Linked DNA regions of Daphnia pulex. The protein of the gene in region 1 purifies or fractionates together with the protein of each later gene. This does not show direct contact. Links are inferred from orthologs where the notes say so. Each region holds a gene or a part of one and is shown on either strand. Other genes may lie near its edges.

Evidence for each region.
Region 2: the proteins of probable tyrosyl-DNA phosphodiesterase (region 1) and DNA repair protein XRCC1-like purify together in Homo sapiens (affinity purification with mass spectrometry; 4 studies listed by BioGRID and IntAct, with this or other methods). This does not show direct contact. The link is inferred for Daphnia pulex from reciprocal best matches to the Homo sapiens genes TDP1 and XRCC1.

Annotation. Positions count from the first base shown.
Region 1 is NC_060019.1:12,903,947-12,908,332, reverse strand, and holds probable tyrosyl-DNA phosphodiesterase, read left to right. Parts: upstream 1-1,402; 5' UTR 1,403-1,570; coding exon 1,571-1,652; intron 1,653-1,718; coding exon 1,719-1,976; intron 1,977-2,038; coding exon 2,039-2,339; intron 2,340-2,378; exon of another isoform or gene 2,379-2,407; coding exon 2,408-2,530; intron 2,531-2,604; exon of another isoform or gene 2,605-2,610; coding exon 2,611-2,705; exon of another isoform or gene 2,706-2,769; coding exon 2,770-2,947; intron 2,948-2,971; exon of another isoform or gene 2,972-3,017; coding exon 3,018-3,279; exon of another isoform or gene 3,280-3,343; coding exon 3,344-3,459; intron 3,460-3,523; exon of another isoform or gene 3,524-3,546; coding exon 3,547-3,580; exon of another isoform or gene 3,581-3,647; coding exon 3,648-3,737; intron 3,738-3,801; coding exon 3,802-3,888; intron 3,889-3,961; coding exon 3,962-4,072; 3' UTR 4,073-4,141; downstream 4,142-4,386. Other genes in the region: serine/threonine-protein phosphatase 6 regulatory subunit 3-like, read right to left, coding at 1-130, 188-461, 526-605, 669-728. UniProt on the Homo sapiens protein: DNA repair enzyme that can remove a variety of covalent adducts from DNA through hydrolysis of a 3'-phosphodiester bond, giving rise to DNA with a free 3' phosphate.
Region 2 is NC_060028.1:2,114,818-2,119,296, forward strand, and holds the start of DNA repair protein XRCC1-like, read left to right. Parts: upstream 1-1,562; 5' UTR 1,563-1,682; coding exon 1,683-1,733; intron 1,734-2,014; coding exon 2,015-2,212; intron 2,213-2,273; coding exon 2,274-2,506; intron 2,507-2,575; coding exon 2,576-2,712; intron 2,713-2,772; coding exon 2,773-3,173; intron 3,174-3,245; coding exon 3,246-3,421; intron 3,422-3,490; coding exon 3,491-3,604; intron 3,605-3,673; coding exon 3,674-3,940; intron 3,941-4,005; coding exon 4,006-4,143; intron 4,144-4,206; coding exon 4,207-4,282; exon of another isoform or gene 4,283-4,355; coding exon 4,356-4,469; 3' UTR 4,470-4,479. UniProt on the Homo sapiens protein: Scaffold protein involved in DNA single-strand break repair by mediating the assembly of DNA break repair protein complexes. Negatively regulates ADP-ribosyltransferase activity of PARP1 during base-excision repair in order to prevent excessive PARP1 activity.

The DNA.
Region 1 (4,386 bases):
TCTCTAATCTGGAATTTTTATTTTCAACACAGGTCACCAACTTCAATACCAAATCCATTATGGCAGAAGTTCTTAAATGTTTCAAAAGCTGAGAAAGAAATCCTTCTTTTTTTTTCAGGTACTCCAGCATCTGAAAAACAAAAACTTGTTAATAAATGAAACTGATGGCATTTCAATACTAATGTACCTTATCTGCTTTCCTTCCAACCAGAACTGCCATTGTTTTACTAAAAAATGATGCCATGAGAGGATTGAGTGGAGGTTCATTACCAATGAATTGGCACAACTCTGTCAAGAGAACCTCATCCATTACAATAGCATCATTGATGACAGAAATGTCACAGGAAAGCAGTTCAGCAGCTATGTTATTATATTTGAAACGCACAACATCAGCAGCCTGAGTTGATGGTTCCTTTGTCACCAAACTGATGAGTTCATGCAACACTTCAGGCTTCACCAAACTACAAATAAATAAAAAGTGCATAAGATTAAACCACACTTTTATACTTGTCATACTATACTTACAAATTAATGAGCTTCCTGTTACTACTTTTACATTCTTGAATTATATCATCTTCATCCATTAATCTCTGTAATGTGATATCCTAAGAGATTTGATTTCCATTAAAATTGAATTTAAGAAAGTTTAAAATAATATCACCACTTACTTCATCATTTAGAAGATTGTCGATGTTGGTGGTACACATATTATTAAAACGCCAAAACATTTTTGAAGTTTTAGATAAAACCGCTGTTTGAAAATCTAGGCAACACCTAAAAACAATATGACATCAGTATTTTATAATAGATTTTACAACATATTTTTCTATGAAGTGGAGTAAATGGATTTTAAAGGAGCACTTTGTTGTAGTACCAGTGTCTTAATTTATCTGATGAATCAGCTATCAGACCTTACAGCTCTAGCAGAAATCCTGAGATGTTAACTCAAATGGGAAATAAAGTTTGATGGCTAGTGGCTACTAGACAGAAAATCAGCGCTGCAAAAAATCATAAGAGAAGAAGATGCCTCACGCAACCATTAAAGAACATGACATTCGTTGACACAAATTATCCACTTTGAAATCTTTATTCTTTCGAGACTTAAGAACACACACTTAAGAACTACACCAACAAATGATGGCCTTCTTCTCCGCCCTAGTTCTAGGTTATTGAAGGCCCTCGTACTTCGATTAGAATTAATCTTGAGAAATCAAAAAAGTAAAAAAAAATGTAAGACTGTAATTCCTGAGAGAATAGCTTAATGGTAAAAACATTTAAGTAATGATAATAAAATTTTTATTAACTCAGCTTCCCTAATTGTAATTATTATATTTTTTTTTTGGGGGGGGGGAGGTTTGGCCGTCTAGCGGCCAAGTAAATTAGGCGGCCTTTGAGTTTGTACAAAGCGATCCAGAAACTGTTTTGAACGTTTGTTTATGAGAATCAGTCAGAAATCAGAATTATTTGGTTTTTAAGAGATATAGATCGCACTTTTAAAGTTCTTAATCAATTGAATATACAACAAAATTACTAGCCTTTCATCATTTTTTGCGAAGGAGCAACTATCGTAATGGATATGAAAGATTGTAAATACGGGTCAACGTGTTTTCGGCGAAATAAACATCATTTCCTTGAGTTTTCTCACCCAATTAGTAAGCAAATATTTTTTAACAATAGTTTTATACGAAATAATGTAATAATATAATTCAAATTGGAAGTTGAAAAAATAGCATTACAAATAAACAATGGAGAAATCGAAGCTGTAATGTCTCAAGAATTAAAATCAAACCTTCTGGAGCAAGCACAACTTGTTGCTGAGCTCATGGAAAGTGGGGAATTAATTCTTGATGACAGAAGGAAGATGGAAATCTCTGGTGAAAAAACTGGAGTGAAGCGTAATGCCTCTGCAATGGCACAAAGTGACAATGAGGCAGAGATAGAAGAAAATAGCAGCGAACAGAAAGAAAAAAGAATCAGTTTAGTTCAATTCTGCAATAATCATAAAATTAAATGAATCATGAAATTTTCTCTGTTCCAGAAGCAACAGCTATTGATGAAAATATTCCTTCCCATGCTAAGATGACAGATGATGTTGGTTCCTCAACCAAAATGGTTGTCAATGAAAAACTTAACCCTTTACAAAAGATTGAAGCTTCTGCTCCTGTTTGCTATTTCCTTAGCTCTATAGAAAATGTACCTGAAACTTGGGACCAGTCTCTTACCTTAACATTTAGTGATTTGCTCCATCCTTCACTTGGTGTGTTGCAAGAATCAGTACAATTTAACTTCATGGTGGAGCTTGGTTGGCTACTTGCTCAGTATTGTCAGCATAAAGTCCAGTAATTACATATATACTTATTACTGCATATTTTTCATGAGTTTCGATAATTTTGTTTGTATTAAACAGAAGGAAGCCAATGCTTGTGATTTACGGAACTGAATCCGAAGAGCTAGCTGCCGCTCAAAGTCGAGTGCCAACGCTTCACACGATCAGAGTCAAACCTAAATATCCATTTGGTAGCCACCACACGTAAGCATTAAATTTTTTAGTTGTTAGACTTTTTCATATTTACATTGTGTTTTCATTATCATTTCTGGAACTACCTGAAGGAAAATGTCCATGATGTCCTACGAAGACGGAAATTTGCGAATCGTTGTTCATACGGGTAACCTTATTGAATCTGATTGGGAAGACCGTACACAAGGTGCGTACCACTACAATCCCTATTGGCAAACTATCGTTTTTTTTTTAACAATAAATTTGTGCAGGCCTTTGGATTAGTCCGTCTTGTCCACCTTTGTCATCAAAAGACAACGAGAAGATCGGAGATGGTGATTCTATAACTGGTTTCAAAAGGGATCTTGTTCGTTATTTAGAATCCTATTCACTTTCCGCTTTGAAGCCTTGGATAGAAAAAATTCGCCAGGCTGACATGTCTAGTATTAAGTAAATTATTGAGTTATAAGGTACCTTGTTTTCAAACTTTTCAGCCAGACGCAAAATGTTTTGTGCACAGAGTTTGTTTTATCCCATCTTCGCCGGGATCTCATGCCATTCAATCAGAAGCCAATGAAAAAGTGCCGAAATGGGGACATCTTTACTTGTCTTGGCTATTGCAACAGCATGCTTCGTCTGAGGCAAATGATTCCATTATCATGCAATGTTCTTCGATTGGTTCGCTCGGTCCATCACCCAGCAGCTGGCTTGCAGGCGAGTTAGGTGTATCCATGGCTGCTGCTTCCGGTGTCACCAAACTCGGCCAGAAAAATGTCCAAGTGGTACGTATCCTCAGTTGCAAATGTCAGTTGATTAGTTTTTGTTTCATAACATTTTCTCAAACAGGTTTACCCGTGCTTCCAAGATGTCAAATCCAGTATTCATGGGTTACTTGGTGGAGGCTGTTTACCATACTCACATCAAGGCCACAACAAACAAACATGGTTCACAGGATTTCTCCAGTAAGAGATTATACCAGTTGCATTTATCTGTTAACAAGAGATTGACAGTTTTCTTTTCACCTACTTGAAATTGTGTTCCTCGTGAAGTAAATGGCGTAGTGACAGCAGACTCCGAACAACGGTAAGCTCAATCTTTGGTTAAATGCTGCAAACAATATTAAAAGATTATGTAACCATCCTCCTTACAGGCAATGCCTCACATTAAATCTTATGCTCGTGTCAGCAGTGATATGAGCAGAGCTTCTTTTTTCGTACTTACCAGTGCGAACGTTTCAAAGGTACTATTCATTTATTTCAAATTTTCAGCTTGAGTAAGCTTGTTCATAAATTCCATTTTCGTAGGCCGCTTGGGGGATGAGGACCAACAAGGATTCGAAATTGATGATTCAATCGTTTGAAGCTGGCGTCCTGTTCTTACCCAAATTCCTTGTAAGTTGTAACATTAGTTTTTCAGGCTTCTCTGGATTTCTAGTAATTGAAATATCATTTTGTTTTCGTTTAGTTTGGTGAAATGACTTTCGAACTCGGGAAACAACTCTGTCTTCCATACGATTTACCGTTGACGAAATATGGTGAGGGTGACGAACCTTGGTTCATTGATAACCTGCGCTAAAATTCGTCGTTTACTACAATAAACTTTTTTTTTACTGTGATAAAAATACAATGATCGAAAATTTTAAAATTGCAACAAGTTGTTATAAAAAATAAACTTTGATTGAAACATGGAAAGATGGGATGTGTATTCATTGCTTGTTTTTTTTATCGTTTTTTCAAAATGATGTTTTGGGACGTGGAAGTACGAAACAGAACGCCACATGAAAATGTTGGAGAAAATGTTAGATATTATAACCAGCTTCCTTGGTGAACATATTCGAGAGGAGATAGGGATTCCGATGTAAAAAGAACTCAGTTTAAGAGATGATCTTG
Region 2 (4,479 bases), on another chromosome or scaffold:
ACAAAGTTTTAGACTATACACCATGCATATAGCCTATATAGACGGTAGGTGCTGCTGATTGTGTCTTTGTTGTATTTTGGGGGGGGGGAATCTTAGGAATAATACAAGAGGAAACAAAATAGAATGGAGAATGAAATAGAAAGAGACTATAAGAAATTGAAGTGGCTCGTACATAGGTATACAAAGCTGCCGGAAGCCTAATACATATATATTGTACATGAAATGTGTGTGTATATGCCTGCAGTGAGTGCAGTTTATATAATATAGCCTGTGTATTTATACATGTAGTCAGCAGGATCGAGGAGAGTTAAAAGAAAAGTTTTTTCGGAAGGGAAATCTAAAAAATACATTCCTTAATATTCTCTGTGCGCAACCTCGATTCTTTGGCTGTATAGCGAAATAAGACATATATAGGAGAAATTAAAAGCCTATACTATATATATAATGTAGCCATGTTCATCCTTGGAAAGAGCTGGGTTGCTTGCTGCTGCGTGGGCCTTGTAAATACAATATAAAGAAGGGAGGAAAAGAGCGTGGAGGTGTCAATACTACTAACGCCGGAAAATGTTCCAGTTGATACTGGGCGATGCTGTGGCTGTTTTATTTTTTTTGTTTTTTCTGGGGAATCACCTATTAATAAAGGCGAGACGTAATATGGTTTTCTTCTCCTCGGCTTTTCTTTCGGTATCCAAGGAGCGAGAAACGGTCGAATTAGAAAAAAAAACAAATTAAAAATATCACTTGCACAAAATGCTTTGCACTCTGGCTGTTGACGTTGTCCTTGTAATATAAACTTCGTTGTCGGAGTACCACGTTGATAAATTAATGCGCCAGCTAAGCCGTAATAGAAATTAAATGAGCTAAAATCGATGACATCCCTCCCCCTTCTCTCCAGCATCATGAATGGTTAAGAGAAAAGAAAATAATAAATTTAGTGGACATTAATCAATTTGGTAGTTTAAACATTGAACCGCCAGAACGTATATATTTCCAGTTGGAATTGAAATTGACTTAAACGTTTAATGTGTAGATTTTATTTGCAGACTTATTTTTATTCATTTCTGTTGTCGTAAAAGATTGATCTCTGCTGATGTCGATGAGTTATTGTCGGTTTATTTTCGACTTGTCATCAGGCATCAGTAATAATAAATAAAAGGATAACCTAAAATAGGCCATTATCCACTATAGGACGCTGTTAACCTTTTTAAAAAAGACCAGCGTAGAAAAAAAACCCAGCGATTTTTGTTTGGATTCTGAATCTGGTGTTGTGTTCAATGCATATTGAATACGCGCGCTGAATGCATTTTACAATGTCCGTTTGCAAGCCAACGCGCTCTGTTGGCGGGTTTTTTAAACAGGACCCAGGAGCAGCCGACTTTCCATATATAATAAAAATAAAATGTAGGGAAAATTGAATGATCACAACTTTTAAAATGGGGGAATAAATTATTATTCTAATAAAATCTGAATCGCTCAGGGTGCGACGACTCAGAATAAGAAATCTTCCAAATTATTCAGGCCGTCTTCTAGCCCCAAAGCCGCCAGAGAATAAAACGTATAGTGCAGCTGCAAACATTGGACAAATCAACTTCCGACGATACACGTGCCAAGTTAAAAAGTCGTTGAAATTTGTATTCCAGTTTTGATTTTCTTAACATTTGTTCAGCGTCGTTGTTTTGTCTATGGCGCCCATAAAATTTACTCGTGTTGTGAGTTTCAGTAGCGAAGATCCGGTATGTTAACAAAATTGTGATTTTCATTGTATAAAGTCGCAAGTGATAGTTGTTTTGACGTTTGGTTTATCGAACCAGGGTGATTTTCACAAATTACTCTTGACACTTCTACTGCTATTTTGGTGAACTTAGTATTCCATAGTTGTGACTGGCAGTATAGAAATCTATTTAATTTCAACGATGAAGACTTTCACTAGAAGAAGATAAAATAGTCACAACGATTCTTACAATTTGCACAACTCTGTGCACTATGGAAAATGATAAAGATTTTTTTTTTACAGAATCAGCCAACAGAAAACCTCATTAAAGATGGAGTGTACAGGAAATGGAGGTGCAAATCTGCTGGAGAGCAGAAAGCGTGGGTTGAATTTCAGTTAGAGAAAACATCCTTCATTTCAGCTGTTGACATAGGAAACCATGGTTCTGCATTCATTGAAATTTTAGTTGGTAGAAGTGGTTGTTCCGATGAAGACTACAAGGTAGACATTACACTTTAAAATAATTGTATTATTTAATGTAAAAGTTGTACACATGTATTAGGTTCTTTTGAATTCAGCCTCTTTTATGACACCTCAAGAGTGTCGAAACGAAACAAATCTCCAGCGTGTACGGATTTTCAAACACCAAGATTTGAACAAGGCCACCCAAGCTGAAAAATGGGATCGCGTTCGGGTTGTTTGCACTCAACCGTTCAACAAACAGCTTCAGTATGGAATTTCCTTCCTTACAGTTCATGCTCCAGAAGAAGAGTCAGCTAATAAAACCAACAATAAGTAAGCCACAAATATTGCCACATGTCATACCAATAATGTATCCTATTAAATGAATCTTAATCACCTTAGTGCTAGCGTGAAAGCAGCAAACAGCATAGATCTTGGCATGTTTAAACTTAGGTCCGAAGAATCAATTGTTGACCCCATCAAACAAGGCAGTTTGTTCTCTCGGTTCAAGTCGTCGATCAGCACCTCGCCCAGCACTCGTAATTATTGCTGTCTAATTTGTTTTCATACCATGATAATGATTTTTTTTATTTAAATAGAGCCTGGTGCAATCCGTGCTGCATCTCAAAGTCTTGCCTCTGCTGCCCTAGCACAGAGTGAGAAAGAGGCCTTGACCATTTTGAGACACTCCCCTAACAAGGACGGCAGCAGACCAGATATCAAATTGACAGATAAGCTTAAAACGTTGCAGACTCGAAGTCCCACAGTATCTAAAACACCTACTGCTGCCAAAGTCGATCAACATTCGCCATTACCTAGTCGCAAGCAAGTGGAATCTGATCGGCCGAGACCAGTTGCGCCGCCCATCACTCCACCAGCTAAAAAATCGTTGAGTAAAAAAATGCAAGAAAGCAAACCAAGACATTCCCCCCTTCATGAATCGAAGAGAGTTGAAGGACCAGTTAAAAGGAAAACACCACCACCTTCTCCATCAGTTGACGTATAAACATTTATAATTCAACCTTTCAAATTATGAGTCGTACTATCACATCTTTTGAATGCCGATCTATAGACGCAGCGCTTAGCGAAAAAGCAACGGACGACCAAACCTTTTAATCGCCTATTGGAAGGCGTCGTGGTGGTCCTTAGTGGTTTTCAAAATCCTTTACGGGGTCAACTGCGAGATAAACTGCTGGCCTTAGGTGCCACCTATAAACCGGAATGGAACGCGTCTTGTACGCATTTGATGTATATTTTACAAAACAAATTTTTGACGTAGAGTCATGCGCTTATTATTCTTTATTCATTTGATTATAGATGTGCCTTTTACAACACACCAAAGTTCATTGAAGTTAAGGGTAAAGGCAAAATAGTTACCAAAAATTGGGTTCAAGATTGTTTCGACAAACGAAAAAGATTACCATGGAGACGGTAAAAATCATTACCAATGTGGTTTATTTTTCTATCGCTTGGATTGTAATAATTTGTCTTTTTAAATAGTTATTGTTTAGATAAAAATGACAGAGGAGAAGAAAGCGAAGAAGAAATTTGGGAAGGAGAGGACCAGGGGCCGACATGTCCGACCCCTACACCCCAAACCAGTAAAGCAGCAACTGTAGTACCCCAATCGCCAACTGTAGCAGCCAGTTGTAAGCCTACCACTGTGGTGGCGAGTCCTAAAACTAGTGTCGTCAAGGACGAAGAAGAAGAAGACTACGGCGGGTCGACTGAAGTTGACGAAGTCGACACGGAAGATGAAATCGATATGTAGGCTCATCTCACACACTCTTTTCGAATTTATAATGGCTAACGCACATAATTGTTTGAAATAGGATCAAGAAGAAAATTAAAGAACAACAGCAGACTTTGGAAGATTCAAACATTTACGCTAATTTGAACTTTTATCTGGGCAAAGATTTGTCCGAAGAAGTGAAAGAGGACCTAACGCTCTATATAAAAGAATGTCAAGGGTACTACCATTAATTAAATTTCTTATGTTCCTTTTTGACAAATAACGTATTTTTCTCAAACAGTAAATTAGTGCCGAAAATTAAATCAAAGGTTTCTCACTTTATATCCGACGATCCTGACGATGATTCAGTCGCCAAGGTAAATGCAGTTTATTTATTCTGTTCATAAAAGATTACTAAAGTCGGGTCTTGGATTATTCATTATTTTTAAGGCGCTGTCGAAAAACCAAGACATGAAAATTGTCAAAAGTGATTGGATACGGACATGCAGAAAAAATAACAAATTAGTTGCTCTCGATGAATTCTTGGTGCAACAAACGAAATGAATAATAAAGG